Styela clava: one gene and its partners. The protein of the gene in region 3 purifies or fractionates together with the protein of the main gene of each other region. This does not show direct contact. Links are inferred from orthologs where the notes say so. Each region holds a gene or a part of one and is shown on either strand. Other genes may lie near its edges.

Region 1 (8,094 bases), on a different chromosome or scaffold from region 3:
ATCATCAACCTGTGCAGTCAAAGATCCACTTTTCAGCGAAAATCCATGTAGAGGCTCAGGATACAGAGGTAGTTTTTCTCCTGGTGCTGCAGCAAGAATGATTGCTCGTCGTCTTGTCTGAGCAACACCATAGTGACCAGCTTGCAACACTCCGAACGTGCATTGATAACCCATTCTCACTAGACAAGCCAGAGTCAATTTTAACACCATACAATTTTTAAAAGAAACAAAATTGCGCACATTTTCAAGCAAGAAAAACTTTGGGCGAAGATAATCACAGTACGACAAGTAAGATACGACTAGAGAATTCTTGAAACGAGAATATTCTCTTGAGTTGAACCTATTCATTCCACTGAATCCTTGACAAGGTGGACCACCACACAAAAGTTCCACATCCCCTTTTCGTGGAAGAGTTTGCCCGCATGAATTTTTTTCTTCCCCATCCATGATACGTCGAAGAAGGACATTACAATCTTCTGTAAAAACAGTAGCACCGGGATTATTCAAACGATATGCCTGAGCAGCTGGATCCCAAAGCTCAACAGCATAGCAAGATTCTGCAATACCCGCTTGGTGAAAACCTTCCGAGAGGCCACCACAACCAGCAAATACATCCAATGTACGCAATTTTTTAAAACTGTGTTTTGATTCACATTCATCATCAATCTTCTCTTTTTCATCAGTAACTTTAATCTTTTTAGCATGAACTTTAACATTTGTTTTCTTTCCTGTTGATTGTCCAATGCGTCTTGCAGACAGTGGTGGATCATCAAATGACTTGTCATCTGCATCATATGATTCACTGAAATAAAATCTGTCAGAACCACCAGCTGTGTATTCTACGATACTTGATTTCAGGTCTAACTCATGTTCAACTCTACATTTACCTTGAACTTCAGTGAAGTTCACGATAGTCTTTTCACTAGACCAGAAGAGAAGATTTAAATCAGCAGAGTAGCTACCGCTGATACCTTTATGTGTGTTTTCAGACCGATAAAACTTTCTAACTTGAATTTTGACTTGATCACTTGGATTGCCATTTGTCTTCATATTAGAAAATATTGATACTATTCTTGCAACCCGAAAAGGCTCAGGGACGTTTTCATTACTCCCCTTGATGTGTTTTGTAGATTTGCGATAATATTCAGGGTATTTTTCAAAGTCTATTTTCTTGTTCTTTTTTGGCTTTTCTTCATTATTGTTTGGCTGAACGAAATCGAATCCATATGCCTCCACTGGAAGATATACAGAATCACCAACAGAATAGCTCACTCCATCATATTGTACTTTATTGTAAACAACTTTCTTTTCGGTCCGTTCTATTTCATCAATTGCTTTTGGAACACCAGCTTCATCTTTAGCATTGAGTCTGGCACATGATTCACATTCCCCCTCTTTGCATGAAGAGATCGGGGGGTCCTCAAATCGAGCAATATCAGAATCATACCATTTCTGACAGAAGAAATCGCTGATTCCATCGCAGTTATGCTTTTCAGGAATTTCACCTCCAAGCGTAAACCAATTCTCAGGAGTGCTTTTCATTTCAACATTTACCTTACTATTCACAAACTCAAGTTTTGTGTCTTCACAATCGTCAATTAAAAATAATTCTCCTTTATCTGCAACCTCGCCTAGAATTGATTCGGTAGCACGAATGTACCAATCAATATGAATCATTTTTGTTTTGTCAGGTTCCTCCCACATTTGAATAATCTTACCAATGAAAAGATGTTTACTTTGATCCTGAGGAAGTACAGAGACACAATCACCAAGAGTTATTTCATCTTCATTAATTTTGGCAGTGCCATAATATATTTTATTGGAAGTTTCAGTCCCAAATGGGACATAGGGATCACCAACCCACTTGTGAAGATTTTTTGATTTTCGTAGACCCTTCGATTTCGGACTTTTTGGTAATTTTTCAACAATTACATCTTTTTCTTCTTCAGTTTCTGAACCCTTGTCTACATCATATATCATTTCTTGACATTTTCTTTCCACACAAGATTGTTTGGCGATTCCCTTTCCACCAAATTTCACCATATCTTTACAAGCATTACAATTTCCACAATCTGGCAATAAGCATCGTTCACAAGCACCACATCGTTTTCGTCGTGGTGCACTGACTTTTGTCTCAACTGTTCCTTGAAAAAACGACTCTGTCATGAAGGCCACAAGAGGCGTTGTTGTAGCTTTTGTTGATGAAGCTTTTACAGCCTTTTTGTCTTTGATAATACGCTTTCGTACTGCTTTACGTTTACCCAGGGTAACACCAGCTAGATGGACAAGGTCACGCATGCATGGATGAGATAGTAATGAATCTTCATCTTCTTCCCTGGATCCATCAAAAGAATCTACTTGTTCAACAACAAATTGTGCATGGCGTAGGAGACTGTCCTCTGTAAAATGAGTGATATTTAAGTTGGCAGGTGGAACACAAGTCTGGATACGATTTACTAAATCCTCATACACTGCCTCAATTGTATCAGTAAGGAACTCAATAACGATTTTACTCATATAAATTTTCTCTTGCATGCTATTCCATAGCTTAGAATAAGAAGCACTAGCCTCCATCAAATAATAATCAGCAAATGCAGTTGAAAATCCAACGAGAGCTGCTTCACCACCATCAAAACCTGCAGTCCACCACTCATTGATCGGTCCCAACCTGGTTCCAAGCACTCCATTTTCAACACCTGCATCTTCAATATATACAGGTTTGATAACACCACTGAAAAATAGCTCAACATTTTTCTCAATCAAACCAGCATCAAACGGACACAAATGTGTATTCTTGTCATAAACACTGAAATTAGTGATCTTGTGCTGAGGACGGCCAGTCTCTTCATTGCCCACAAACAGTGCCAATGATTCGTGAGTGAGAGCAATGAATTCTTCACTCGCATCTGGTGTGTCACCTTCAAACATTTCAACTTCGTCAAGTAACTGTCTGCAATATTTACATTTCATTGTATTTGGTGTCTTTTTTTGCAAAATTTCCCCAACGATTTTGTCTTTTTGTAATTCTGTTTCTTTGTGTGATTTCAATTCAGTAGTTCCATTCTCACATATTACATTATTTTCAATACTTGTCTTCAGTCGTTTCATATCTGAGGTGTTATTTACGACCTCATCGTTGAATGAATTATCATTTGGACCATTTTCTTTATCTTCTTCAGATGCTTTTCGTTTTGCTTTCCTCTTGAACATATCAGCAATGGTAGGTTGAATACAAGCCTTTTTGTGTTTTTTCTCATCATTTTGGGTTGAACTTTTCAGCATTCTTCAAAATTTTAATACTGAGTGCAATAACACAATAAGACCTAAACTGTAAAACTAAGAGTGTAACAGAATTTAAAACCATAATGACCAAGAAGAGCACAATATAAATAGCAGATGCATGAAGATATACTAAGCTAAACTTACGCCAATATACCAACCTGTTTGTTCGTATGTGGTAGAATGTAGCCTAAATTTTCCTATCAATAATAATGTAAAATTCCCGAATTTACAAATTGACTATGGACCATAACATATATAGAACATGAGCACAGCTTTATTTCTATTAACTGACCAATATGATGCAAAAAACAAACACATCTTCACTGCATGAATGCATACTGGGAAAAATATTTTTATACTGTTACAAGTTTTAACATACAGTCAGCCAGAAAACTTGTTATTTTCTAAATTATAAAGACAAGTAAATTTATTCTACTTTAATGTACAATAAAAATATTTCTACTCCTAATGTGGGATATTTTAGAGAATCGCAGATTAATACGTCGAAACGCCCTTTTATCTTTTGAACTAATGTGGATGCGTATTATTTTTTAAATTCTAAAGACAAGTAAATTTAATATACTTTAATGTACAATAAAAATATTTCTACTCCTAATAAGAGATCTTTTAGAAAATCGAAATTGAATTTCTTGAATACACTCTGATTCTCAGCAATGTATATTTCTATATGTCGCGGTAATGGCACTTTAATGTCAGATTTTTGAAGTGAACACCGCTGGGATTTGTGGGTAAAATATTTCGCCGCAATTTCGCTAGGATCACGATGGCAAATAGATTGTTTGTTTTTTTAAACCAAATGTCTGGACATTTCGAAATCAGAGAACTGTGCCCTACAGCCTTTACGTCTGTACTTTGATTGTTTTAGCCGCAACTAGCAAAAACCAAAAAACTAACTGATAACAGGATTTGCTCAATTCTTCACTCAGCATTGTGCAACAATAGAGCAATTTTCATATTGAATTTGAGGTAATATATAAAAAAAATATTGAATAAAATTTTTTTTCTTTACTTCTGTATATAATAGGACAATCCAATATTTGCCATCGACCATTTCACAAGATTTGCTTGTAAACAGCAAAGTTAATGCATAGAAGAAAATAACGACAGAGTATAAATAATAAATTTATGATAAATCTGAATATCAGTAGTTGTAATTAATATCACCAACCTAGAAATTTCCTTTTGATAGTCAAGTTGGGAAGTGGTATACTGGTAGTAATATTATTTATTCATCATCATGCGTAACTCAAACATACATTATTAACAAAATGAAATAAAAAAAAACATAGGTGAAAGAACTCTGCAGAGGTTATCTAGCTGTTGACCCACATTCTGACATTACATTTTTGTTTGTTATTCAGGCAGTTTGCTTAGTCAGATCCAAAAGTTGTAATGATCTGTGTATTGTACCGCTACCGCCACAGCAGCTCTGATTAGGATAGGATTTACATATTTATTTGGGCCATTCCAAGCAAAAGTTGAATTCCATCAATTTTTTAAAAAGTGTAGTGAAAGTAATTTTTTTTATTTCTGATATCAAAAGACATTGGAATTTTATTGGACTGCATTCATTTCATCGAACAATTTAAAATTTCACCTAGGTTTTTGGGGTCTGGTATAGTTTAGTACCACATGCACTTCTAATTGGCCTGGCTCAATAATTTTTGCACATGTCAATCCTAACCCCCATCTGACTACGTCACCGAAAAATTACGTCATTCCGACATCACAGTAGCGTAATATGGTCCATCAAAGTATGCGGAAGGTTGTCCAAAACGTGCAGACAATCACCCGAAATCGAGCAAGCGATTTCTCTCGTTTACTCGTCACAGCGTTCACGATAGGAGAGAGATCGCCGGCTTTAGCGAGTTCGTTGTCAACGGCGCAGATGCCATTTCGGGCGATCGTAATTATAATTTGGCAAGCCCCATGACGTGTTGGTGACGTAATTTTTGGATGGCATAGTCAGGTGGGGGTTAGGAATAACATATGCAAAATTCGTTATTCTATGCCCGCTGGAAGTACTTGTGGTACTAAACTATACTAGACCCGGTTTTTGATGGTTTATAAAAAATGGCCTGAAATGTAGAAATTTTGGTATAATTGTGTGGTACAGTTTTTTCATATGGAATTGACGCACTGGGTTTAAGTTAATAAAGTTTAAATGTTTGCAGTGCTGTAGGACATTTCTTTACCCATTTAACAATTTATTACCAGAATTTTAAGAGATGATAGAGGCCGCTATTTCGAAGTGGAAAAATGTCCTGTAGTGTCACATACAATATGCACATTATTGGCATGGATTTACAGTGTTACATTAAGTAACTTGAGCAACACATAGAGGGTCTCGTGTAGTTTCTTACCCAACATACTTCTAGTGGGCGTAGCATCACAATTTTTTGACATGTCAATCCTAACCCCCACCAGACTATGCCATCCAAAAATTACATCACAATCATGTCATAGAGCTTGTTAAATATACGTACTATCGCAAGAAATGGCATCGGCGCCGACGATAAAGAACTTACTAACATCAGCGATCTCTCTCATACTGGAATCGTCGCGACGTAAAAACGAGAGAAATAGCCGTTTGATTTCGGGTGCGCGTCTTGGATGAAAGTTCGTATAGTTTGAAGGTCTCTATCACGTCACTGTGACGTCGTAGAGACGTAATATTTGGATGGCATAGTCAGGTGGGGGTTAGGATTGACACATGAAAGAGACCCCACATATAGGGGTAGTTCAGCTACTGCACCAGAAAATATTATGGGCTCCTACTGTACCATCGCAAAAATTTACAGCACAACACAACGTACTGGTAGTGCATGGTGGATTTGCCGTCCTGTAGTGTCACAATATATTTTTTTATCTACCAAGTACCGTAAGTCCTGGGTGTAACTTTTGTGCAATTTTTTACATATTCAATAAAGCAACTGATTGGACAATGAAACAAAACATGTAGCTGAAAATGTAAAATTATATAGCATCCAACAACTTGCAAAATTTCTGGAATTGTCCTGTAGTGTCACTTTGAATAGCCCATTTCAGCATTTACGGTACCGTATGTACGTTTTAAAGATTCAGATATTTTGTTTGCTCTCCTGATTTTTCATAATCAGTTTTTACCCAATTGTTTTTATCAATCATTTTATTGTTATGCTGAATATGGAGTCGAAATAAACTTATACTTCCTGCAATAATGACCTGAATATGAACGCAAAATATCCAAGCCTTTTCCCAAACAAAAGCAAGTATCGCAGTTTCCCGCGAATAGCGTTCTATGCTAAAACTCGGCCACATCAAGTTTGGCGGCAAAAACCATAAAAAACGCAAACGCCCGATGTGCCATATGTACATAAGATATGCGATGTTAAGTGCAAAATATATAACGTATTTTAAGTGTATTTGGACAACAGAAAAGCGATATATCTCAGATTTTCGTGGAGTCACTCGTGTACCTAATGGACTTTTCCCCGATCATCGACTTCCTTGTTTACTGCGTGACATTGGCCAATCAGCAAGATGCAAAAAGTGACGTAACAATGCTCCCTTTTCGCATCAGCTCAGACACTTTTCTCACTCAGACAGATTTTCAAGCGTGGTCTGTAAACATTACCTCGTTTTCGCGTTTTTGAACTCGTTAGTTTTCGGTTGTGTTCCGGAAACCTAAATATAAATCAGATAATTTATTGATCACTATGTCTTCCTAGGAGTTTTAATTTAACTGCAGTAATAAAAGATTTGTGTAGAAATAGCTGTGATAGACTAGGCTAAAATTCTTCACCGGTACTTTCAAAAAACAGATTGTTGTATGCAATGAATCATAATCATGGTTTGAAACATACCACATTTTACAGGCGCCAACTCGCAGAAGCACTCTTAAAATTTAGCCTTGAAAATTTTGCAATGGTAAAGTAGGATAGGATTTACATATTTATACGGCTTATCCATATGGCGAACCACGGCCTCTCGTCCGGTTACCATTCCAAGTTTGGTATGGGATTAGTTATATTGTTTGTTTTCGGAAGCATGGACTTGGTGGTGGAGGTCGGAGGAAGCCGTAACCGACCAGCGGTTACGTGAACCACCCAACGACGGCGAGGAGTCCAGCAATACTCTCCCATGCGAACCCATGCAGAGTAATTAGAGGTGCGGTGGCGAGCGTATTCCTAACGCTTAGCCCGTTGAGCCACATCGCCGCGCCTATAGGTATAGGAAGAATTTTCGGGGGTCAACGGTTGGGGGAAGATTCATAGTCCAGAGGGTTCATAGACCATAGCGCGTTCTGCTTCCTCAGTTTCATACATTTTCTTAGGGGTATGAGATAGAAAACATTGTACTTTAAACATCAATATCTCCTGCTGTAGAGTTTCTATTTATGACTAAGTATTTAATGCACCTAGTTGAGTTTTCGACTTCTCAATCAGTACAACCCAGTGGCGGCGCGTCAATAGGGCCAACCGACGCAATGCCCCGGTTGTTTTTTCGGTATAATAAAAAATATTCGAAAAATACCTCAATATCGGTTGCACAGACTGTCTACGAGGTGCGGCTAAAAAGAAACGGGACTGACGTCACAGATTGCGCAACACGATTAACCATCGGTAATCAACACTTTTGCAGTGTGGCGTAATATGTGTTCTATGTTTAACAATTGAAGAATGACGATTGAGCAAAGAATTAACATTAAATTTTGCGTCAAACTTGGAAAAATGCATGTCAACTCGGCATGCATTCAATCGTTGAGCTTTCTGCTCCTCAGTCAACTCAAGAGCCTTTGGCATCATTTTG
Region 2 (8,394 bases), on a different chromosome or scaffold from region 3:
GTGAGGACACTGTATGTTATAGATTTTTCGTTTAACTTTCTACACGTCCAGTGCTTTGACCAAGCGCATCATTTCGCCTAGTGTGTGATAAATAAAGTGAATAATGCTCAATAGCAGGTCAAGCGGAATATAAATTCCTAGACCCAATAAACAATCTACCTTAGCTTTGTTCGAAATAAATTTCAATAAAAAGCAAATGTCAAGATCATACCACATTAATCTTTCGTTTAACAGTAGTTCTTAATTTTCTTTTAGCTTTGGTATTTGTGAGTTGTTTCACCAGTGGCGTCTCGTCCACTTTATTTTCTTCAATCTGTGAATATTCATAACTTGTTAAGCAAGACAATCTTGGATAAATATAATTGGCTAGTTACTTCTGAATCGCTGTAAGTAACATACTTTTTGTTTTGATACATTTTCTTTCTTAGTTTTACTTTCTTGGACTGCAGTTGTATCTTTCTTTGATTTTCTCAATTTTTTCGTTACTTCTTTCTTTGCTACAGCTGTCGATACTTCGGTAATTTTTTCTTCAACTTTGTTCAATTTACTTCTCCTTGTTTTTAAAGGAGCAGCATTTTCTTCATCGGAATCTTTTTTAGCTATTTTTCGTTTCCGAGCTTTAACAGGATTGACGGATTCTTCATTGTTAACTTTCACTCCCGCAGTGGATGATCGAGTAACTCGTCGTTTCTGCGGAGAATCATTCGCTCCATCGAGTTGAAGTATCACCTTGCTGTCCTTGTCCATTAAAAGCGGAATATCTTTAGTTTTATTTTTCTTTGATGCGTAAATTTTCGATTTGATCGCAGCAACGCTCTCCTGAAAAAGTATCAAGTAATATCATCAAGCACGGTTGTGATTTTTCTTATTTACAGTCATTTAATATTTTTCATTTTGAACTAATTAGGAGCCTCGAAATTCTTCATAAAATACTCACATCTCGTTTCTCTATTGGTGTTTTCAAAGGAAGAGGCTGTAATGATACCACTAGCCTTGTATTCAATCCCATGGCTCGCAATGCAAGGACAAAAACCTGAGAATAAAAAAACTTGTAAAGTATATCCATGGACATCTATGAAATAGGTGATAGTAACCTGAAAAACTATCTGAAATTTTACTCGCTTATGTGAGATTGCAACCAAATAACAGTATATCTTGGAAGTTGGAATTGAATATTCTTCCCCTCTTCAATTGAAAAGATAGAAATCAATGTGTTCTACCCTAAGCAATTCCATGTTTGTTTATGAATAATGGATATCTATGCAAAAGTCATAAAACTGAAGACTTACCAACACCCAATCCAACTTGAACTTGACTTTTTGTGCTTCCAGAGCTTTTTTCATCTTAGTCTCCAAGAATGGTAATCTGAGCATTCCAAAACCAAGAAGCTTTTCCACCCCATTTTCAGTCTCAAATATTTTTTGCATATCTTGTATAAACCTGAATTAAACACAGATAGTGAAGAAAAAAGAGAAAAAAAGAAGAAATAAGAGTTACATGCACTGGTACCCTGTGCAAAAGTAAATCTGAATTTACTCTCAGTCTAAATGCAATTTGGCGGCAGTGAGACACAAATTCAAATTTTAAAATTAAACATTGAACTTTCAACTCTATAAACTCAACTTAAAACTTTTGAAATGATAATATGGATGAAAAATGAAAAAAATGAACAGCTGAAAAGAATAGATTTTAGCATTACAAAACGATTCAAACCTTGTTAAGAACATTGCAGAGACATGTTTCGGCTTGACATCATGGTACTTCTTGGGAAGTAAAGAATATGTTCTTGATAGGAGTTCTTCATTGTTGCAAATTCGGTTAACACGCATTCCCATTGTTAAGAGACACATAAGATGAACCTATATTTTGATAATTTCAATGAGTCAGTAATCAGTAATGTTTTTTTTCACATACCGAAAATACGAAAGTATACAAAAGTAAGGTAAAATATAAAATAATGTGATGGGAGACGCGATAAACCAGTCACGGTTATCAAACAGCGTCATCTTTGAGGGAATCTCATAAAAAAACAAGTAAAGGAAGTGGAACAATATTTAATGACAGAAATCAGCCATGTCGGTACGATTAAGCAACCTGGTGTTTCCAGTGTCGTTCATGGTGATTCGAGAGAACAACTCCAGGCACCACTGGTGGGGTAACCGTGGTAACCGCAGTAGATGAAATGACAAACGAGCGGGGGCTAGTTTTTGTGTGCCGTATCACATTTGAGTAGACATTCCCAGGAAATATAAAAAAATAGGAACCACTCATATAAGAGGTTTACTAAATATAATCATATTTAGGCTATTCCCTGCTGTGTTATCCTGGTATCAAGAATTCAAATTATCCTGGAAAATTAGTTAAATTGAATGAAATTGAATTTTTAAAGATTGAGCTTCGTCAATCATCCTTTGTCTTTTGAATGATGGGACACTTTAGAAAATTTGTATTGAAATTCAGATCATCATACAAAAATACTTTTTCCATCAGAATGCATCATATTTTCTGAGCTGAAACCAAATTTGTTTACCTTATGCATAACAGTTTGCATTTCTTTGTCAATTCTCTTAGCTGCTTGCCTAATGCATGTTTCAACCATTTCTCGATCCCATTTTTCTCTTTTTAGTTTCTTCTTCACAGCATCTGGAACCAACTCAACCTATAATCAAAAACATATTCAATATCTATGCAAAATTAATTTGTATAATTTGACTGATACTCAATACTCAAAGTAGTTGTTCAAGAATTTGAGATTGAGGGACTATTTTAGGATTTATTATTGATTACTGCAAGGTGATAATATGAGAATATACAAATAAAACACAGGTACATCATATATATATATATATATAAAGTAGAAAAATTTTCATATTAAACATAATTTCTAGTAGGGCCTATACTAGATTACTCAAAGCAAAATTGAGAGCCTCCAACTGAGAGTGGAGAGAATAGTAGTAGAGTTAAAATCTATCTTTATTGATACTCTCAACACTGAAGGGGAAGGACCATATTATAGTGTAAATGACTGCAAGCAACCAATCTAGTGGCCAAAATAACTCAAAAGAAACAAGGACTAAAATACAAGACTAGATAAAACATTTGTATTCAAGATATCAAATAGTAATCACCTCCACATTTGCAGATGGAACAACATCTTTTTCTTCTTCTTCATATTTCTGAGATTCTTCAACTTCTTCCCATTCCTCATCACTACTTTCTGTTGTTGTATCAGGTGACATCTTTACAAAAGCTAACCTAAACTATTCACTATTCTTCTAAACATTTTAAATAAATGGAGCAATTTAATAAAAAGCCCAAAATATTTTCTTCACATTAAGCACTTCTACATGGAACTTCACATTTCAAAATTTACAAGATAATACGGGAAAAGAGACAGTATAAGTAGACTCCTCAAATAATGATACTTTCATTTCCAATAATACTTTATACCAGCGTTTCCCAATCCGAAGGAACTTTGTGCTGTGATTTTGGTCTAGTAAAACTGCTAATATTCTTACTCTAATGCTTATTTATACACACATAATACAAGCTAATGATTCATTACTGATTGAATAAATACAGTAGTTCCAAAATATGCGCGAAAAGAGGAATATAGCGAAAAAGGTTGGAAACCACTGCTTTATACAATTTTATAGTTCAAATTATAAATTGGGTGTTAATTGATGTGTTTTACTAATGTCTAATACCTATGGTAGGATCGTGACAAAATATAGTTCAAATAAAATCTATAACTACAAAACACATTTTGAGAGCTTGAGAAGGTATAATGGAATAAAATCTAAAAACACCCAATTCAGGTAAATATGTAACTATTCAACTCATATCAATGCTCCATAAAAATAAACTACAAAATTCACTGACAAGCGGGCCATTGAGGTAAGGCATTTTGGATCCTGCACGAATTTTTTCACATAAGGTTAAGCAACTACTAGTTTCGGTTCACAGCAAAGATGAAAAATTTTTGTTCTATTGTGCATAAAATGAAATTTTTTTACAGCTTTCATTAAAATCACAAGACAAAAGATGTCAATATTTTCAGTCTGATGTTATGCTGTTAATTACTTTTCTAAATTCTCTGGGAGAGGCAGTAGTCCTAACTCCCCTTGGATCGAACAACGTTCCACAAGCCCGAAATCCAACCGACCGCAACTTTTGAATAGAAGCAAGAATTCTCAAAGGATTTGACCCTTTTTTAGTGTGAGACTCAACAATATAGTAGAAAATCGGACAAGTTTCCGAAGAATATTTTTGAATAATCGACTCCAAACTATCATTTGGTTTCAATCTTTTAGCAGACGGCTCATTAGCATCTTGGCTTTTAGACATTTTTTGAGTTTCTATTGTTTCCTTGTAAAGTTTAATAATTTCAACTTCTTGCTCATCAGAATCAAGACACAAACTTTCCAATGTCATATTTTGCATGACTGGCACAAGTTTATTTTTAATATCAATTTGGGTAAGAGTTTTAGCCATTTGAATCACAAAATTAGTGTCGAATATGGGTCCAATATATGCTGGACCTAACATTACAATCGGTGGTTGTACATTTTCATCTGTGATTCCTCCATCTTTGCAAAAGCAGTCGGTGATATCTGGCATTGGAACATAGTACAATTTTTCATTCAAAACTTGACGATAATGACAAACTCTGCAATGAGCGACTCTTTGTATAAAATCCAATGATTTGTTAGCATGCGTGGCACCTTTTAAAATTCTAACTAAAAGAACAATGGAATTTTCATCCACATAAGATGAAAGTACAGATATTCCACGGTCCCATCTGCTCGCAGAACGAGCTACATTTGCTAAAATGAGCCTTACAGCAAGTTCTTTACCATATTCATGTTTCATTGCTTGCCCATGATAGATTCTTGGCACTCTTTCTGGACATTTATTATATAAAGTGCATAGGTCTGTTGAAACAATACATAATACGCCTCTGTGGCATATAGAGAAACAAGCAGCCTCAAGGTACCTTACACATGTTCCATATGCTTCTAGATATATCATGTTGTATCTTTTATTTGATTCGTGTAGTAAAGAATTCGGATTCCTACATACAATAGATACATTGTTTTCAAGAATGTTATTTTTCAGATTTTTTTCCAAACAATTTTTCATATAAATCTCGTCATGTAAATTGATTGTAACTGAAACATTTTTTCCGAAGTGTTTCGCCCAAATCATTCCTGACATTCCGAGACCTGGAACTGCATCAATACAAGACAAAGCCGTCATTCCAGCTCCTTGAAATTCTTCAATTATTTGTGATAATGCAAGTAAAGAGAATAGACGAGGAGTATGTAATCTTTTAGCAGTGTGCCATTGGTTTCCTAGCTTTGTGAGAAAGTCTTTTGTATATTTCGCAGAAATACCTAATTCAGATAGTGTACATTCAGTCATACCTAGATTTGAGTTGACTATTTTCGATACTACCTTATGATTATATGATTAAAAATCTGATTTAAAAATTGCGAAAGAAAATATTAACAGCTATCCCAAGTGTGGGAGATGGTAACATACTATTTCAGCAACTACGCATTTTTCTTTTTTTCCCATGCTGTTGGAGTATAAGTTTTTTGTGTAAAAGCGTGAATCGATTTCATCTCTTCTGCAATAATGTCATTGACCATCCTTTGCTGCTCAAGACGTGACTTTCCAACAAAGAGTTCCGATACAACAACAACGTTATAACTAGTTCCACACATATTGGGCGACAAATCGTCTATTTCAATATAAGTTGCCTGCAAACCTTTTTGCAATTTCTCTTTAATTATCTCACTTGAAGTCATGATTGCTGATGGCTAGATGCAAGTCACAATTGGGCGAATTAAAAATATAAACATATATAAAAACATGCGTTCATATAATCTAAAGACAATAATATAAGTGATGGATGAATGATTTAAGAGTGAATTTATATTTTTCACAAAGTGATGAAATATTTATGAATACTGGAATATGTGTGAATAATCTAATAATAATCCGAGTAGTGCGCTAGCAGTGAGGTCATGAAATATATTGCACTGTCTGAAATTACGACCCACGGGTCGGATCCTGCCCACTTGTGCCTGCTGAAATTAAAAATAGTTTCTATGAATATAAATTTTCTTATTATCAGCTACCGTACAGGTACAGCATACAGTAATTCCCCACATATTATATCTTAAGTCACTTACCGTACCAGGTTACAGTACTGCAGTACAATAATTTCATTCCCAAACGACATGAAACAGGGAAACGATAACCATCTACTCACTCTCTTGGTACTGTACAAGAAGTTGAGGTATAAATTAGGGTTTTGCATTTATCAAAAAACATCATACCGTACGGTACCGTAAAAGCGCCTAACTTCGGACAGTTCCTAACTTCGGACAAAATTTTTGAACGGCCATATCTTGGCTAAAACGCGCCGTATATTGCTAATTTCAATTATTATAGGTTGCGCTGTTATATCTACATCTATTCTCATCTTTTTTAATGTTGCATAATTATTTTTTTGGTAAAAAAACGGAAATTTTGCCGAAAATTGACTGCCCGGCATTCAACGGCGCAGAGCGTCGCTCCTACTGAAGCTATCATCGTCAAAATACCATCATTCGGTAGAGGGCGACAACAATGTATATAATTTATTTGAGTGATCGCAAGATGTCGTACGAGATTCAAATAAAATCTAAAATTCTGAATTATAAATTCCGTAAGAATATTAAGATTTCACGCAGCGTCAAAAATTACGTCAACCTCACGTAGATTATTTTTCGCTCACTTCCGACACGACGTCACACTGCGTCGCGGAAATGAATTTTGACGCCAGACACAACGGAGCCAATATGACAATTTCCGTTAAGATAAAGACGGCGTTCCAATGTAATATTTTTGTATTTTGTTCGGTCATGTATGAATATATGCCAAAATTACATTAATGAAAATACATGTCACACTTAATCGATGACGTTAAAATCGAACATATAAAACTATGATAATTCCAACGTCCATATGGCACAGTGCACTAACTTAACCATTATTTTATGATTAGTAGTCGAAATGACAGTTATTGAATACGGCCTGGCTGAATTTTTTTCACTCGAAATTAAAAATAAATTTAATCTCCAACAAATAAACGGGACCTACATGTTTACAAGATTAAGTTGAATTTTAAATTAAACTTTACAATCGGATTTACCGTGTGTTTGATATAAATTATCAATTATAAAGATAACCGCGCACGATAAAAAAAAAGCTATCCGTCGAGAATATTAATACTTCAAAGACTTCGATAGAAGCCTGTTAAAATACTTCATTGTGGATTGAAACGGTTTGCATCAGATATATTTACGTATGCATTTTCTGATTAAAATGACTAACGTGTTATTATACTCATCTGAAGTATCGCAAATAACGAACGAAAGATGTAAACATAGGACGACGGAAGTTTCAATTAATGCATTTTGGTCGTGACGTCAATGTTACGTTACGACGACGATCGAACGTCTTATCTTCACGCAACGACGTGATTACGCAATCCGCATCGGAAGCCTCTTTCTCTCTGTGCGTCGCGGTTACGCAGTGAAGAAAATGACTGTCCGAAGTTAGGGCAGTGAAGGATAACGGTCAGATGGCAAGAAATATCGATTATTTCAATAGTAAAAATAGTCCAATTGAACCGAAATTTGCAGGGAATGTAAATTACCGCACGAATGTTTTACCGAGCAATTTTGGCACCTTTTGGACAATAAATGGCCAAGTTATTGACGAAAATATAGTAATTTTGTCCGAAGTTAGGCGCTTTTACGGTAATCTATAACTGGCCCACTGAGAAAAGTGATTGCCGAACCTAGCTGTAAAGTAATTCAAATATTGCAAAACAAACTAACTCTACCAGTTCCGCAAAAGCACCCAACATTCGAGTGGAAGTGGTGACTCCTCTGCGGCCCATTGGCCGTGGCCCCGGCTCATAGAGGAGTCACCGCCCCTGTAGCAACATTCGATTCGCCCAATCTCCAAAACCTGATCACTCCTAACCTCCGCACTATCCTCCCTCCCACGCAGCGAAACTAAACTGACAGCAATCAGACTGCAATTCACGCCGCTTTTAATAACACGAGTTTCGCGCGATCTTTGTTATGTAACCTCACGTGACCAGAGTTACGTAACAAAATTCACCGCCGATCTGGTCATTTTTTCTTCTGGCGATTCAGCGATCAATCGAAGTCCTAATCTAAAGTGGTATCCCGCAGCGTTTTAAGCGCTAGAAATACGCCCGCCATCGCACCTCTATTTCGCGACTTCTTGCGTTTCGTAACATTTACTTTTACTGCGTAATATGGTAAAATATTCAGGTTTATTTCCCATATGTGTGGTCATGAGAATACA
Region 3 (8,150 bases):
CCAACAAAGCTTTGATATCACTTTTAGAGGTTGATAATTTTCCAATCAGCAACACCTTCTTTTGTTTCAGTGGTAACGGTGCAGCTCTCGGTGGAAACACCCTATCCAGCTTTTTGTATTTATACTTGCTAAAAAAATCATCCATTTCTTTAGCATATTTTGGGAATGACCATTGATTTCTCACAATCTCAGTTGTGCTATAACTACAACTTGTCCATTCTGAAATCTGTCCTGTACAGTGATAATCGTGGCTTCCAACAACTAAATTTCCTTTGCATTCTGGACAAAGTGGAAGAGCACCAAAAGTCATTCCATCACCAATAGCGAGATAAATGGCATCGATTCCAGTTGGTACTCTTTGTTTATTGTATTCTAGCAATCTAATTAATTCATCTTTCCTCATATCGAGTTTTTTCAATTTGTCAATGTTCTTCCACATCAATATTGACTGACTCTTCATTTTCTTTTTCAATTCCTCTTTAGCAGGATCTGTAAAAATATTTTATGCAATTGTGGAATTGATAACAAATATCTTTCTTGTCAATAAAGAATTTGTCCATATTCAAAGATAGGCTCTATCTTTCCATTCAAAATTGAATATAGGAGGCATTACTAATCCTGAGAATTTGAGTTATTTACAAGGAACCAACATAGATTGACCCGAATAATATGACAAGCCATAATTTTTTGTCCACTATGAAGCAGATTTTTTGTTCACCTGGAGCAGAGGCAGATGAGGCAGCGCTCGCATCTGTTTTTGATTTAGATCGTTTCTCCTTAGGTGCTAATAATTTCCTAATGCTGGCTTTGTCTTCAGCATCTAATCCATTAAAACCTGTTAACATTTCTGCAGTGAAATGTTGCTGCCATCCCATGTCATCTTTCTTTTTGAGAAAGCATCCAACATGATGCCATCTATCTACCAATCCCAGCTGGGTAAAAAAAATATATTTTAAAAATAATATACATGGAAGTTGATGGACTGATTTAAACAACCCCAAAACTAATTATCTGCTAAATGTATAATCAAACATCAGGAAAAAACAGTTTGGCGAAGTGAAATTTTATAAAATTTCCGCTTGTGTAGAAAATTTTCCTCCTTTCCTCAAACAAATAGTAAATTGATTTGTTGTGTATCATGAACAACAGGTAGTATTTTGCCATTTTTCTGTGGCTCCAAGATAAAGAGAAATTCCAGCCAAGCAACTGAATGGTTAACTAATTATAGCACAAATTTAAGCTTGTCAACATATTTAAATATGGAACCTGCGGTTTTTCTGGATGTTTCTCCTTGTGAGATAATCTAATTTCATCCTTTTCAATTTTATTATCACAACCTCGGCAAGTACTTCGACTCGATGTTGCATACTGAACCACAAAATCCTTGAGTGTTTTTGAGATTATCTGATAACATAAGAAGTAAAATGGAAATAATAAACAACAGCGATAACAAATATACTCCAATGTCAGAAATAAATTGCAATATACTGTAGGCCTTTTATTCTCATTGCTGTTATTCTCATTATATAAAGCAGTAGGAAAGGTCCTGTCTGGATTTCATGGCCTTTTTGAAGGAGAAATCGGGCGTGCAATCAGAAATTCCCGCGTGCAAATACGAATTTCGGGCGTGCAATTATAGCTCACGGCGTGCAAAACAACTGCGCCCGCGTGAAACTGACTTCGACCTAAGATACCTTCCAATACATCCGCGTAAAATTACCGGTATTGGATACAAAATATGTTGAATCATAGCAAAAATGGACGTTTGACCTTTGACCCCAAACATTATTTCTATATTATTGTCACTAATTTTGAGAGTGTTTGTGCGACTTTATATACCGGTACTGTTCAGTACATCCGTGTAAAATTATTGTATAAAAAAATACGCTGAATCAAAGCCATAACTGGCCAGCGACGGTGAGGAGGCGATCTTTCTCATTCAACACGATACGGTTTTTTGCTTCGCATTTTTCGGTCATGCCAAATCTTGCAAGCTAGTACTAGTCGACAATTGTGAAGTTGTAATTTTTTGGCATCTTTCTATTACTAGATTATTGATTTAAAAACTATTTAAACCGATTTACATTGGTGAGCAATTGCAAATTTTCGGCGTGCAGAATTGAATTCGCTCGCGTGCATTTTTGTTGAGCGCTAGCGCCCTCGGGCGTGCATCTGCCATGGAATCCAGTCTGGGGAAAGGTATCGCATGTTTGCTTATTTGCCTCAAAAATAATTAAAGGATATAACAGAGACGGGATATATGTTCGAGACCTTACTGACCTAAGACTGATTCATTATAGTAGGACAACAGACATGAAATATACGAAAAAACTTCAGTACAATACACAGGACAAAGAGGTACGGCACAACGACGATATGTACAATAGTCAGTCAATAATAAACCCGAACATAATTTCGGCTACCAATTTTCCATGAATTGTATCATTCTGAATCATGCAATTCAAGTACCTTTGGTCCTTTTTTACTAGTTTTCGCACCACTAGCAAAACCGTCAATTTGAGCCTGTATTTTTTCTTGATCGGGAAATCGTAAACTGTTGAAATTTTTTATTTCTTCAGTATTCGTTGGACGACATTTTCCAAAGAAACACGAATAGTGATACCAATTGGGTTGCTGAAACAAAATTTTTATGTAATTTAATAAATTAACCTCAAATTCAAGCCAATACTGCAATAAAGTATTTTAGATAGCCTACATTGATTACATTCAGTCAATATTATGTTTTAAAGATAAAACAAAGAATTGACCAAGACCTGTAGTTGGCATGACAGGGGTAATAGTTTGTTGAATTCCTTCATTCAGTTATTTGGTATTACTCGGATAGAATTTGTCATACAGCAGTACAGCGATACCAGAATACAATATTCCGGTATTCAGTATTAATTCTGGATGTGTAGGCTACTTCGCCTCATTAGCAATGTAGGCTAGTAATTAGATAAACGAATTCGGTAGGTTACAATCTTTTTTCTTACATTCAATTCAGAAAACAAACAGTTACCCTTCCATCATAAAAGGGAGATTGAACCATCAACGCGATTCTGAGAGAATCTTTTGCTATCAAACTTTTGCATCCTTTGCACTGTGATCTGTTGCTTTTTGCATATTCAGCAGCATAGTCGTAATCTTGTTTAACTTCCATATCAAGTACCAAAAACACAGCCTAAACAAACTCCTTTTACAGTATTAGGTATTTCTGCATATGCAGCAATTTGAAGATGCAAAACAATAACACAAACCGGCTGATGTCGGCACGTGTTGACACACTGGTCACGTGTTAAGCGCCTTATTTACATTCCCGCCTCGCGACAACTCACCCTAAGATGATGTTACAAATAAGCGCTCTCAAAATATTCTTTACGCGTGGGCCGAAACGTCTAGTCTTGAACGAACGTTTAACAAAAAATACCCTGGCGACCTAGAGGTGATGCGGCTTCGCAAACGGAATTATTTCCATATCTATCAGAGGAAAAGAAATATGACAAACCGCCCAATAACATGGCAGGCTACGGCAAGCCACTCACTTCAAATCAACGTTGGACGTGGGATAGGTAGTCTAACTAGAGATTCGATTTTAATTCATGGACCTGAAGAGTATAACAAATATGAATCTCGTCTTTCCAGTCAGCTATCCTGACCTACGGTATATACTATGCGTGATTCGTTTCGAAGAGAGTTTCTATTTTGAGCAAATGGAGACGACTAGCGCAAAGGTGGCACATACCCTGTAGATGATTCAAATTTGTATCGAAAAAAATCGCTATTTGTATAGGCTACTCCCAAACGAAAAAGCCACAAAATTATTTCAGTCATCGGGGAATGTACATGAAGTGGCATTGAGCACCAAGCTCTACAGTACACAGTCGGTATCCAAATTTCTGAAATCGAACTTGCGAACAGCATCATCCTTAAAGATAGCCATACTTAAGCTTTCCTAATTTGAATTCATTTGCACTATGCAGTCTAAATACAGCCTTACAAGAAAACGATGATGAAGCGTACATTAGTTCTACACTTCTTTCAGCTATTTGTCCTCACCCGCATATCGATGAGGTTTGAAACTACCAAAGAAATGACAAGAGATGCAGAAAAAAAATTTGATAACAAATTCACACAGTTGGCAAGCATAGAAAAATTGGCAGAAGCAATAGCAGCAGTGGAAAATTTGTAAATATTGCAAAAGCTCTATTGTGGAAGAATTATTTGTAATGAATGCAATATTGGCCTGTGTTGATTCACATTAAGAGTCAGATAGGACCTAATGATAACTTTTCCATGTAATATCAAAACATTCAAACTTATTTCACGTTCATTGGTAAGATATTACCAATATATTGTCTCAATATTATTCACACAATAATAAGAAACCAATACCCTACTACAAAATGCGAATATTTGGTCAAGTCATGAAACAAGGTATTTCACATAATATCACATTTGGGTAACATATTAAGACTTTTTTATTGGCTCATTAATTTTCACCATCATGTTGATGAGTATTCAAAAAAAATGGTTCAAAAAACAAAATTTTCTTACACAAAATTTCTATAATACCAGTTTAGTCCATTCAATTGGATACTAAACTAATCCAAAGGCTGACTAGGACCAGAATTTGTGATTTGCACTAATGTTTTCATGTCATGTTATCAGCTTTTCTCAGCCAGGTGGTAGATCCTAATCAGATTTTTGCTTGGATATCATGTGCTTTCAATTGAAATTAATAACAAATTTGACATTTTGTTGCATCACCATTTTCTACTTTTAATCCTACCAATAATGTACTACTTGAATCAAAACAATCATTACGGTTTTGCTGCCTGCCCTTGGGAGAAAAATTTAAACACAAAGCAGCATACTGAAATGGAAATTTCTGACACTATTTTGGTCATGGCAGGTGGAAAAAATTGAAATATGAGAAAAGTTTTGGACATGGCAATTCATTATTTGATGCAAAAGCAATATTACACTTTTAAACATAATGTAATGAAATATTAAGTACCATATGGTGCGAGGCAGCATTTGCTTTCATTATTTCCGTTGATGATTTGATTTCGTCCAATTATCATTCAGGTAAATATTTTGAAATAATGGGAGTAAAGGATGGTAATGATATGATTGGGGAACAAATTCGCAGAGATGATATATTATCAAATTATCTTTATTTAATGATTACACTTGAACTAGGCACACAGTTTTAGTATTTTTGGTCGTCATGAAATTTCAAATTCGAGGGTAGACTGTTTACACAAAGGCCGTAATAAAAGAAGTAAAGTTCAAGGGTTCACACATTTAGTTTGTCTTTACAAAAACAGATACTAATATTTTGTGGTTGGAATGTATTTTTTGGCCACAGCCTAAATCAAATTTCAGTTTTGGTAATTATTGTTGCCATTTATGACATTCAGTAGATACATATAGTTAACTTTTTGGATGCTCTACCGCATTTAGATTAGCGGTTACAATGTATACACTAAAAAAGATATAACACTTGTGTAATTTCCACAGAAAATCAATGTCAAAATATGGCAATTATTTTGTTCCATTGCAGAAGACTTGAAAATGGCAGAAATACACAAACTAGGTCAAAATGATCATAACCATGTAAAAAGTGAAGAGTTATAAAATTCCGCATAAGAAACACAAACTAAGATGAAATATCATATGACATTATCATGACTGCCTTCGAGTATGATTGATCAAAAAATGGTTACATTAGATTTCAAATTTGTTCACAATCAATCTTTTTAATGATTATCACAACTCATCTTACAAATTCAAACATTAGCAACAAAAAGACATAATATCTACAGAAAAAAGCAAGGGAAGAGACACAATGATAAAAATGTCAGGTTTATCAAAAGATTTACAATCAATACTTTCCAAGAACCATGCACAACAATGCCATTCTGATATACAGTCCACACTCGGCCTGGCGGAAGTAAGCAGCTCTAGGATCACTGTCAACAGATTCTTTGATCTCACCAAGTCTTGGTAGTGGGTGCATGACCACCATGTTTTGCTTAGCTTTTGTCATCAAATGTGGAGTGAGCACAAATTTTCCGACTGCTTTTTCATATGCTTCGTTCGACTGAAAACGTTCTTTTTGAATCCTAGTCATGTACAGAACATCAGTATCAGGCAAAGCTTCTTCAAGAGACGAATAAACACGTTGTGGAATTCCTCTGGATGTGACGTAGTCGCAAGTGTCTTTAGGCATTTCCAATGATTCTGGAGAAATATAGCGAAGACTGACACGATACAAAGTTAGCAAACGAGCAAGTGAATGAACAGTCCGACCATTCTTCAAATCTCCAACCATGGTTATAGTCATTCCATTGACTGTTCCAAGTTCTTCTCGAATAGTGAAGACATCAAGCAAAGCTTGAGTAGGGTGTTCTCCAACTCCATCTCCCCCGCTGATGACAGGTTTTCTGACGTGCCTTGCAACTCTTTCTACAGCTCCTGGTTCTGGATGGCGCAACACAATGATGTCAGAATAACCAGACATGACTTGCACAGAATCGGTTAAAGATTCACCTTTTAACACAGATGATGACGCTTTGTTCATTGCAATAACGGATCCACCTAAGCGATGCATTGCAGCATGAAAAGAGCACATTGTTCTCGTGCTGGCTTCGTAAAACAAAGATGCCATAACTCGTCCGCTTAGAATGTTTCCGAGATATTTCTCTCTTTGTACCATGTTACGAAGAGCATGAGCCACATTGAATAAATGGTGAAGTTGTTCTTTGGTGAATTGGGAAACCTTCAATACATCAGAACCAACCAAACCATGTTGAGGATGAAGTTTACCTTCCAAATTACCCGATATTCCTCCACTTCCCAATATAGCTCCCCTAAGCACATTTGCATTTTGAGGTGTCATACCTTTGTCACTTTCAATTCTCTTTGTCATCAATAAACCAGAACCTGCATCACCGACTGGTCCAAAATGTGGTATTGGTAGGCCACTAGGTGGTTCTGATACTCTATGTACTTTAGGTGGTAATCCGAGTTGCCCTTCAGAAGTACCGGGCCTGGGGCTAATTTGCTGAGTAGTAAAAGGCATTTCTGGAACAGAAACCTTCAAGGCTGTAGTTTTCGGTACATTTGAAACCACTGGGGGTGGTTGAGTAGTCTTTTTAACATCCATGCCAGAACCTGGACGTGAAAGGACCTTACCATCAATATATGCAACCTCTCCACGTAAGACAACCCTCTTTACGGCACCTCTCACTTTAATACCAGCAAATGGTGTCCATTTAGATCTAGTGAACGGCATCTCAGATGGTATGATCCATTCTTCATTCATGTCTACTTCAACATAGGTATTGGGTTGTGAAGCCAAGTTAAAAATTTTCATTGGATTAGTGTGCAATCTTAAAATTAAGTCTTCAAGGGTTAATCGCCCTTCATTTACTGCATTTAGCAGGAGCGGTAGCATAGTTTCAAGCCCAGGGAATCCAGGTGGTGGCAATGGTTGCTGTCTATCCTTTTCAGAAACTGCATGTGGAGCATGATCCGTCGCGAAACAGTCAATAATGTCCAAATTTTCCCATAACGCATCCTGATCTGCTTTTGTGCCGAGTGATGGACAAACACGACCTCGTCCATGACCTATGGTGTCCAGGTCATCCTCAGTCAGGAATAAGTGGTGTGGTGCGGCCTCGCAAGTAATGGGTAAACCACGATCTTTAGCCAAGCGAAGCATCTGTATTTCTTCTGCGCGAGCAACATGACAAAAATGCACAGGCCTTGTGTACAGTTCCACTAACCATAATACAGCAGCCATTGTTTGCCTTTCAGCATGAACGCAAATCGGAAGATTTTTAGGCCACGCTTCAAAATGCTTTATCCAGTATGTCATGTTATCCATTTTTAGCGTAGTGAAAGTGTCATTCAAATACATTTTAAGGGCGATTGCATATTCACTTGCACTCGCGGCATCCAAGGCATTTTCTTTCGCTGCTCCCATGTAAATTCCATAGTCACATCGCGCACCATCTTGAGCAAGGCTTTTGGTAAGTTTTATGGTTTCTTCATTAATCACTGCAGGACTGGTATTAGGCATTGCTAGGATCATGGTGATTCCACCAGCCAAAGCACTTGCTGTACAAGTTGAATATTTTTCC
Region 4 (8,245 bases), on a different chromosome or scaffold from region 3:
CATTCTAGATCGAGGTGGGCACGATTTTTAGATCAGGGAACAAAAATTTTGCCCACCGAGACTGGCGGGCCATGTAAGTATGACGTAAAGAGTTACATTTTATGAACAATGTTCACAGTGTTACAAAAGCAACAGTGGAAAACAATGAACCACGTGCCAAAATTTATCCGCAATCTTAACAAATCCCTTGACCTATTTTTAACTAAATCATCAAAATTTGGTTCCAGTTAAGTTGTGGCAGCATCAGGCGGGCCAGATTGAATTACCCAGTTGGCCGGATTTGACCCGCGAGTCGTAATCTGCACATGTCTGTTCTAGATACTAAAATTTTCATGTGAATATAGCCATTATGCATCTCATTTATTATTTATACAGAAAAAGAGGAAGCAGGCTTGAATCAGAAATCACAAAAGAGACGGAAGATGTTGAAATGCAAGAAATGTCTCCTCTGAACCAAGAGAACAAAAGCACAGAAGATTGCGAAGATGGTTTTCCAAATACAAACAGAAGTCCCAATGAAGATGAAAACATTTTGGAAAATATTGCTAATGAAAAGAATACATCGAATGCTTCCAGTGAATGTGGATCAGTTTTTGACTCAGACAATATTGATCAAATTGGAATAGAATTAGAAATAGGTGAGTATATACAATAAAAATGTTAATAAAAGATACAAAAATTAAACATATAAATACTAGTCTGTCTGTATTTGAACATATTATACTTGAGTCGCGAGATTTTACTAAATCTATTTTTTTGAAAATTTGGGTCGCTTGAAAAAAAAGGTTGGAAACTTATATATCAACATTTATTTATTCTTTTATTCTTCTGTATTGCAATGTATAATTGACAAACCATTCGAATTTCAGGGTCCTTGCAGAACGAAAGAATGGGCAGCTCACAATATAAAAACGTCAGTGACACGGCATCAATGGGTAATGATACAAGTTACCATGACGATATGGATACAGCATTGTGATTAATTAAATATTAGAAAATGTATGAAACAGTAGTGAAAACCTGAAAATGACATCATAGACACAAAATCAAGTCATGATGTATTGAATATTTAGGATTAAACTTGGTTTAGAGACAATGTTTTAATTATAAGTCGAATTATATATATAAGTTTCAATATGAGCTATGATGAGAGAGTGTCTGTAAAATTCCACCACTCAAAAACACACCCATAAATTCCTCTCAAAACTCCTCATTCAACTGGGTTAATATGTTAAATTTTGTCAGAGTTCAAATAATTCATGGTTGAAAATTTCTGCAAGGAAATTTCCTAACAACGATGAGAAGATGATTCAGAGGGGGTTTCAGCAGAAAGATGATTCACTTTTATCTCGAGAGCGAGTGTGTTAGACTTCACTTTGAGCAAATTCTTTTGAAAATTGGTATACAGACAAAGTTTTCTTGCTTATATAAGTTGTAATATATTTCTCATCAATTTTTCATAGATTAGCTGTGTTTTCTGCGTTTATGCTAATTTTCAGTTTTGTGGAGCAGCCTCCAGTACCCTGTGTATTTTGTACACAGTGTGACAGAGTATTGAATAGAAATCTGCAATGGATTTTTACCATATGCAAATTATGAATTCAGACTTTAGTTCGCAATATAATATTAGCATCAACATACCTTTGGATATTTATCTTTGATGACAACAACTTTATCATCTTTGGAAACTCTCAAACTAGGATCATCCATTGATCCTTTCAAACCTTGACTCCAATGATAGGAAGGTTTTTGTGCTGAATTATTTTTATTATTTGAATTTGTTTCGTTTTCTTCATCGGAAATATTTTTCGCTACTTTTTCAGTCATTTTTTGTCGTTTGCTGAATGTGTTTTCCTCCTGAGGTAGTTTTGTTTTCTTGGTATTGGAAGATGTAGTTCCTGAATAAATATTATAGAACATAAGAGTTTCGATGTGGTTTCTTTGAAATTATTGGAGAAATAAATTTACATTGGGATATGAGTACAGGTCACTGTTTTTGGGACAAGAATTGTTTTTCGTCATTATCACGGTAAACTCTGGATAAATCAATATCAAAAACCTACATTAATCGAATATTATGATTTCCTAAACAGCGTTAGTTATTTAAAATTCTACTACTATTTGCGTAAACACTTTTTTTGCGCTCATCAAGGTACTGTCTTTTACCCAACATTTTTCTAAATTTAAAAAAATTCCATCCTCACCCCATATTTTCAGCAATCTAGTTTATTGAACAACGTATGCTACTGGTAAAACCTTCATGTCCTTATAATAGTGCATTTCTCTCTAATAATAATAAATTCACTATATGATAGAAAATGAAACCTGAATTAGGGATACATATAGCAATCTTGTGAGGATATTTCATATCAACGACGTGTAACGTTTGTCCTGCATGAAGTCTGTCAGTTTTTCTATGTCCGATATCAATCCCTTCTATCTGAGATGCATTACTGCCAAGTTGCTTGACCATAACATATCTAATGTTCAAAAATAACAAATTTAGTGATGCCAATAAAATCACTCTAGAAAAGTGGTTTTCAAGACAACATTTTAAATAATTAAACATATTTTAAAAACGTCTTATAAAGTCTCAATAAACATTGATCATATACTTGACACATTTTCAACAGAAATATTTTTACAAACCAATTTGACAGGGCAAGAAAACACAATAGCGGACAATCTATATTTGAAACAAGTTAGAATCAAATGTTTCCGTCTAAATGACCATTTTTCAAATAAGCATATATTCCAAATATAAATCTATAGGTACCTCAAAAATACCTGTATGGCCTGATACAGATTTCATAAACATTGGCAAATAAAAAAGTCTCTTTATACACAAAAGAAAGTATATTCAAATAACGTCAATAATAATTTCACAAAACATAAATATATCAGTATCTATAACAGCAAAAATATAACACATTCCTACCTACTTTTGATTGTAATTTGCAACCAATTCCAACTGATTTCTTGAACACAATTTATCAGGTATTTTAGTCTCTGCTGATCTCCCAACGATGACTGGCGAACCGTCTGGTAGAAGTATCGGAGCATGTGTTGAATTGCAACATTGAAAATACATTGAGAAAGATAGAGATAAAGCAATGTGGTAATTCCTATTAAAAAAAATAAGAAGTTCCAACTTGAAATGCATTTGCAAATAGTAAATCTCAAAACAACAAATTTCATATCTTTGTATTTTAGATTTTGACATTGTAAAGAGCATTTTGAACCATATAGAATAGATAGAACAAAACAGCATCAATCACAACTTAGGTAAGGAAGTTATTCGGTAAAATTCAATTGAAAAAGTGATGAATTTTTGCACGGCTCTATATGAAAAGATTTTGTGTGAAATGGCAGGAATTATGTTTTATATTATTAAATCTTTATATTGAAAAATTTAGACAAAGTTTGTTCAACTCACAAAAAAACTTTGTGAGTTGAATAAAACATTGGCGGCATTAGAAGTTTATTAACATATACTTTAAGACTAGTAAAGCCTTGTGAAAATGGAACATCACATACGTTGAACGACAAAATCCTTAAGAGTTAAATAGGCTAGCTGTTCTTTTACGAGAGATTTTTTTAAGTAAAACATTTCTTTACTACAGTATGAAAGATTCATAAATATGTCAGAATTTAAACCATTACAAACATTTTGAGGCCATTGTTAAGTATTATTTATTGTCACAAAATATAAATTCCAAGCTATCTAACGCTCTCATATAATCCTACGGTAATTTTTATTTTCATATTTTGTGAGGAGCTCAATTGTTTCAAATTGTCTGTCATACTTTAGTATTTGCGAGTATTTTATAGCAAAAATTAGTCTTGTTCTTTCTTAACAACATGAGCACAATCAAGTGCTCCTCTAATAACTTTATGGTGAACTCCGACTAAATCCTTACGTCCTTTTCCTTCGATGAGAACAACGTTATTTTCTTGTAAATTATGTCCTTCGCCGGGTATATAAGCAATGATTTCTTTTCCGGTACTTAACCGTACTTTGCAACATTTTCTATTCGCACTGTTTGGTTTTTTCGGCTTTTTAATTAAAAGTCTTAAAACAACGCCTTTTATTTGTGGCTTTCCATCCATTCTTGATTTTTTCTTTTTCTTGGCTATTATGTCCAACATTTTTCCTGTTTTCATGTATAAATCAGCATGATAAAAGTTTCGATATCTGCCTTCCCATTTGAAATCAATTGCAGATGAGTGGAAGTCCTTAGAAGGCTGAGTTAAGAAGGTGGTTAATACAGCTTGGCTTTGATTCACCAGTAAACCATTGTATGTGTTTGTTAGGCAAGTATTATTCACTTGATGAAGACATCCAGTGAGCAATGTATTTTTCAATCTGATCAAGTTTTTGAACGCCATAAGTTGGCAAGTTCAGAAGTTAGATTTTCATGTAAATTAAGACTTGAAAACTATTTGAAATAAATATAATCATTTGTTTCCAGATGCAGTGAGAAAGCATGATGAACACTGACTAGCTACGGTATAGATTTTGCGTAAATAGTAATTGATCCCAATTTCTTTTTTTTTTAATTTGCAGCTGCGCGAAACTCCCAGAAACACTTTTGAACAAGAGACTTTTTCACCTTTGTGGTGCAACATACTGTTATAAGCCTACTCCAAATGTACAAAATTTTTACATATCTATGTTTGGTGTTGTACAGATGTATGAATGTGATGTAGGTAACCGAAGTCTGTAAGCTGGTACGTACCCAAGGCCAAGTGAGTGTCGGGTCTACAAAAATAAATCTCTCTCTTTCTCGATTTGTCAAAAAATACTTTATTACACAATAAACTTAAACATCATGCTATCAATATCAACAAAACATATTCACACCATCCTCCAAGACCAAACCAAAAATTAGCTGCACGAGACAAACAAATGATGAAAAGATTTCACTTCGTACTGCGCGCTTGTCATCAGTGACCAAAAATCGTGATTTGTAATTCACGATTCTTTACTGTCATCTTGCGTATGAGTAAAAGTCTGGTGTTTCAGAGAATTAAATATTGCACAACATGTGCAAAAGAAAACACGCGACTGAAAAACGCTGGTGCAGCAGGCTATTTCAATATTTGTATATAGGCTATTATATTGTATTCTGATCGTTTTCATTCTACACATCTGATATTCAGTTAGGCAGCGTCAAATTGTTTTAGAAAAGAATCCTTGTTGTTGTTGGCCAACCCTTTAGTACAGTATTACGGTATGGAGGGGCAGTTTGATGATTTGGACCAGGCGGAGGAATATTTGCAAATGATGACAAAAACTAGTAAGTTCATTCATCTTTTTTGCATTCAGTCATAATAATAAATAAGTATCATAATCTAAGTCGCTGGTATCACGTAAAGCTAGTAAAGTGAATTTTTCTATATTTTTCATTGTAACTTTTATTAGGATAGGATAGGATTTACATATTTATCCCGGGGGAGAGGAAAGCCGATAAGACGGCTTATCCACATGGCGAACCACGGCCTCTCGTCCGGTTAGCATTCCAAGTCGGGTATGGGATTAGTTTTAATGTATTTTATTTTATTTTTTTCGGAAGCATGGACTTGGTGGTGGAGGAAGCCGTAACCGACCAGCGGTTACGTGAACCACCCAACGACGGCGAGGAGTCCAGCAATCCTCTCGCACATAACCATCCCTGCATGGGATTCGAACCTGCGAACCCACGCAGAGTAATTAGAGGTGCGGTGGCGAGCGTATTCCTAACGCTTAGCCCGTTGAGCCACACCGCTGCGCCAATTATTATTTCAGTATTTCTATTTTTACTCATCATCATCTTTCTGTTATTACGGTACTCTATTATTGTTTTTTTTTCCTTCGCTGTTTCATTCACATTCTTCAATGACTGTTTTGTAATCTACCCCAAATTCAGAAATTTTAACATTTCAATCAGCAAGTTGATTCACATACAAGAGTACAATGTGTTATAATCAAATTAAAATGAGCAATAGCTAGAATAGTCTTATCAATTTTTGTCATAATACTAGTAATAATACTGCACTTTGAAAAACATTGTTTTACATTATGTTTTTGTCCATGCATCTGAAACAAATATGACTGGCTAACTAATACCATACCTACCTGACATGGACCTGTAGCTGGCTGAGCGGCCGTGGTTTGCCATATGATTAATCCAGGATGATTATGTAAATCCTATCCTCTCTTTGACATACTATTTCAATTTGAGCCGACTCTACATCATTCTTGTGTAGATCAGTTGAGTAATGTATAGAACTTTCTCATAAACAACATTTTGTCGTTTGTCTATCAGCAGTCAAGATATGTCATTTTGGAGATTGTTGGATTTTTGTGTATTTTCAATGTGTGTCTTTTAACCGCGTTTGAAAATTACCATATCGGTGTGTCACCATGTATGAAGCCCATTATTTTATTGCGTCTCTTATACAATTAACTATTTATGTAATGCTTTATTTTAAGATCCTATTCAAGAAGGATGTATCGATTCAAATACAAACATAGCAGATGATGATGACAATTGGAGTGATGATAACTATATGGAAATGGATGAAATATATACAGAAAATTGCAGAGGAAACGGCGCCAAGTATTCCTCCAACCAATCTTATCAAGTAGGATGTGATCATTTATTATTTTGCCACAAGCACATGTATAGCTTCAGGAAGAGATCATTTGAATGGCGATTCACTGAATGTCTGAGGGACAGGCTTATTAATTTCAGTTATTTCTCTAACTATATTGGTTTAAATCTGACGATGTCCAAGTCGAATTGAATATTCCAATTAATTTGAAATAAATGATATTTAAAATTTTATTTTTAGAGAATAATAATTTTATTTTGGGAATATTATAGGCCTAGTTAGTTTTATCTGAAAACCCATCATTTTGAGCAATTGAAATATTATAGTATGACCAAAAAGACATTGAATTTTTTGAATTCTACAACAAAAAACGTAGAACCACTAAAATCACTGTTTATCTTAACCCTTCTGTATTTTCAAATTTAAACTCATTTGAATATCCATTAACTTCGAAAGTAGAGGACCCAATTAACGTCAATATTCCAAATTCGAAAATATTATATCAGAATGTATTCAGGATAGTGAATTTTCGAATTTTGGCCATCCCTCTTTAGAACCAATAGTTGAAATAAAATAGAGTGCTCAGCAAAGTATAAACTTCTTGTTGTTTTTTAGCCTGTGGATAAAATGTTATCAAAATTTTCTGACAAGATTCATCTTGATGCATATGAGCATCCTAGTATTCCGCAACATAATCTCGCACAAGTTCGACAAATGGATAAAAGAATGGTTGAAAACAAGTAAATTTATTCAAAAACTTTCTCTCATTCTCATATCTTATTCCTTTTAAATCAAAGAACTGGGAGGTGCCTGGAAGATTTAAATTTAATGTTCTTTCAAAATGATCAATTTTCAGGAATTCCATTAATTAATATTATTAACTAATATTATTAATTAATATTAATTCACTAATTTTTCAGTGAAATAGTGAGTTTTGTTGAAAACTATTGAATACCATGGTGATGCTGTAACATAACTTTGCTTTCATGAATCATGACCCCCTTTCAAAGACTACAATGTGGCCCTTTTTTCTATAAAAATACCTTTATTTAATGTGCTTCTATCATTTGTTTTATGCGCCATGGTAGGTAATAAAAAAAATTGTTTTTGGGAAGTAAGGCGTCATGTGGTACTTGGTTTGATTCTTAATAACAGTGTATGTGATTTTTTTCTTTTAGCAAATATTGGATAATCAATATCAAAATGTTATGTTGAATCACCAATTTTCACCAATACCAATTTTCAAGTTTATTTACTGCAACCAATAATTTTCAGAAATCGAGTAAAAGACAAATCGGATCGAGCAACTATTGAACAAGTCATGGATCCAAGAACTCGAATCATACTTTTCAAAATGCTGAGTCGTGGCGTCATTAAACAGATCAATGGTGTAATAAGCACTGGGAAAGAGGTGATGAATTTATGTACATTTAATTATGGAATTTTTCTTTTGACGTTCAACATAATGCAAGATTTTAGCTCTCGTAGTTTCATAATATATTTCCTGAATTTTTATAGTTTTGTAATATTTTGAGAGGTGCACGTAAATTTACGCACGCACATTTTATATGGCATTTGCTTCAAGCTGTGAATTTTACCTGTTTAAATATTTCTATTCCAGGAAGAAGTTGGGGATTTCCCATATATA

What was found.
Region 1: the proteins of poly [ADP-ribose] polymerase 1-like (region 3) and DNA (cytosine-5)-methyltransferase 1-like purify together in Homo sapiens (affinity purification with western blotting; 4 studies listed by BioGRID and IntAct, with this or other methods). This does not show direct contact. The link is inferred for Styela clava from reciprocal best matches to the Homo sapiens genes PARP1 and DNMT1.
Region 2: the proteins of poly [ADP-ribose] polymerase 1-like (region 3) and DNA repair protein complementing XP-C cells homolog purify together in Homo sapiens (affinity purification with mass spectrometry; 4 studies listed by BioGRID and IntAct, counting the BioPlex papers as one, with this or other methods). This does not show direct contact. The link is inferred for Styela clava from reciprocal best matches to the Homo sapiens genes PARP1 and XPC.
Region 4: the proteins of poly [ADP-ribose] polymerase 1-like (region 3) and aprataxin-like purify together in Homo sapiens (co-immunoprecipitation; 3 studies listed by BioGRID and IntAct, with this or other methods). This does not show direct contact. The link is inferred for Styela clava from reciprocal best matches to the Homo sapiens genes PARP1 and APTX.

Annotation. Positions count from the first base shown.
Region 1 is NC_135257.1:3,599,488-3,607,581, reverse strand, and holds the start of DNA (cytosine-5)-methyltransferase 1-like, read right to left. Parts: upstream 3,333-8,094; 5' UTR 3,283-3,332; coding exon 1-3,282. UniProt on the Homo sapiens protein: Methylates CpG residues. Preferentially methylates hemimethylated DNA. Associates with DNA replication sites in S phase maintaining the methylation pattern in the newly synthesized strand, that is essential for epigenetic inheritance.
Region 2 is NC_135258.1:14,477,336-14,485,729, reverse strand, and holds the start of DNA repair protein complementing XP-C cells homolog, read right to left. Parts: upstream 3,336-8,394; 5' UTR 3,240-3,335; coding exon 3,129-3,239; intron 2,660-3,128; coding exon 2,531-2,659; intron 1,860-2,530; coding exon 1,714-1,859; intron 1,441-1,713; coding exon 1,290-1,440; intron 1,034-1,289; coding exon 938-1,033; intron 820-937; coding exon 400-819; coding exon of another isoform or gene 398-399; intron 314-397; coding exon 212-313; intron 1-211. Other genes in the region: tRNA (guanine(27)-N(2))-dimethyltransferase-like, read right to left, coding at 4,057-5,424. UniProt on the Homo sapiens protein: Involved in global genome nucleotide excision repair (GG-NER) by acting as damage sensing and DNA-binding factor component of the XPC complex. Has only a low DNA repair activity by itself which is stimulated by RAD23B and RAD23A.
Region 3 is NC_135251.1:21,237,144-21,245,293, forward strand, and holds the start of poly [ADP-ribose] polymerase 1-like, read right to left. Parts: upstream 3,412-8,150; 5' UTR 3,161-3,411; coding exon 3,020-3,160; intron 2,635-3,019; coding exon 2,470-2,634; intron 1,405-2,469; coding exon 1,267-1,404; intron 933-1,266; coding exon 719-932; intron 490-718; coding exon 1-489. Other genes in the region: multifunctional protein CAD-like, read right to left, coding at 5,888-8,150. UniProt on the Homo sapiens protein: Poly-ADP-ribosyltransferase that mediates poly-ADP-ribosylation of proteins and plays a key role in DNA repair.
Region 4 is NC_135264.1:11,771,106-11,779,350, forward strand, and holds the start of aprataxin-like, read right to left. Parts: upstream 3,272-8,245; coding exon 2,943-3,271; intron 2,481-2,942; coding exon 2,326-2,480; intron 1,899-2,325; coding exon 1,642-1,898; intron 1,636-1,641; exon of another isoform or gene 980-1,635; coding exon of another isoform or gene 870-979; intron 639-869; coding exon of another isoform or gene 376-638; intron 1-375. Other genes in the region: uncharacterized protein LOC120333828, read left to right, coding at 376-638, 870-979; small ribosomal subunit protein uS12-like, read right to left, coding at 3,838-4,389; serine/threonine-protein kinase RIO1-like, read left to right, coding at 5,237-5,300, 6,476-6,627, 7,213-7,337, 7,873-8,008. UniProt on the Homo sapiens protein: DNA-binding protein involved in single-strand DNA break repair, double-strand DNA break repair and base excision repair.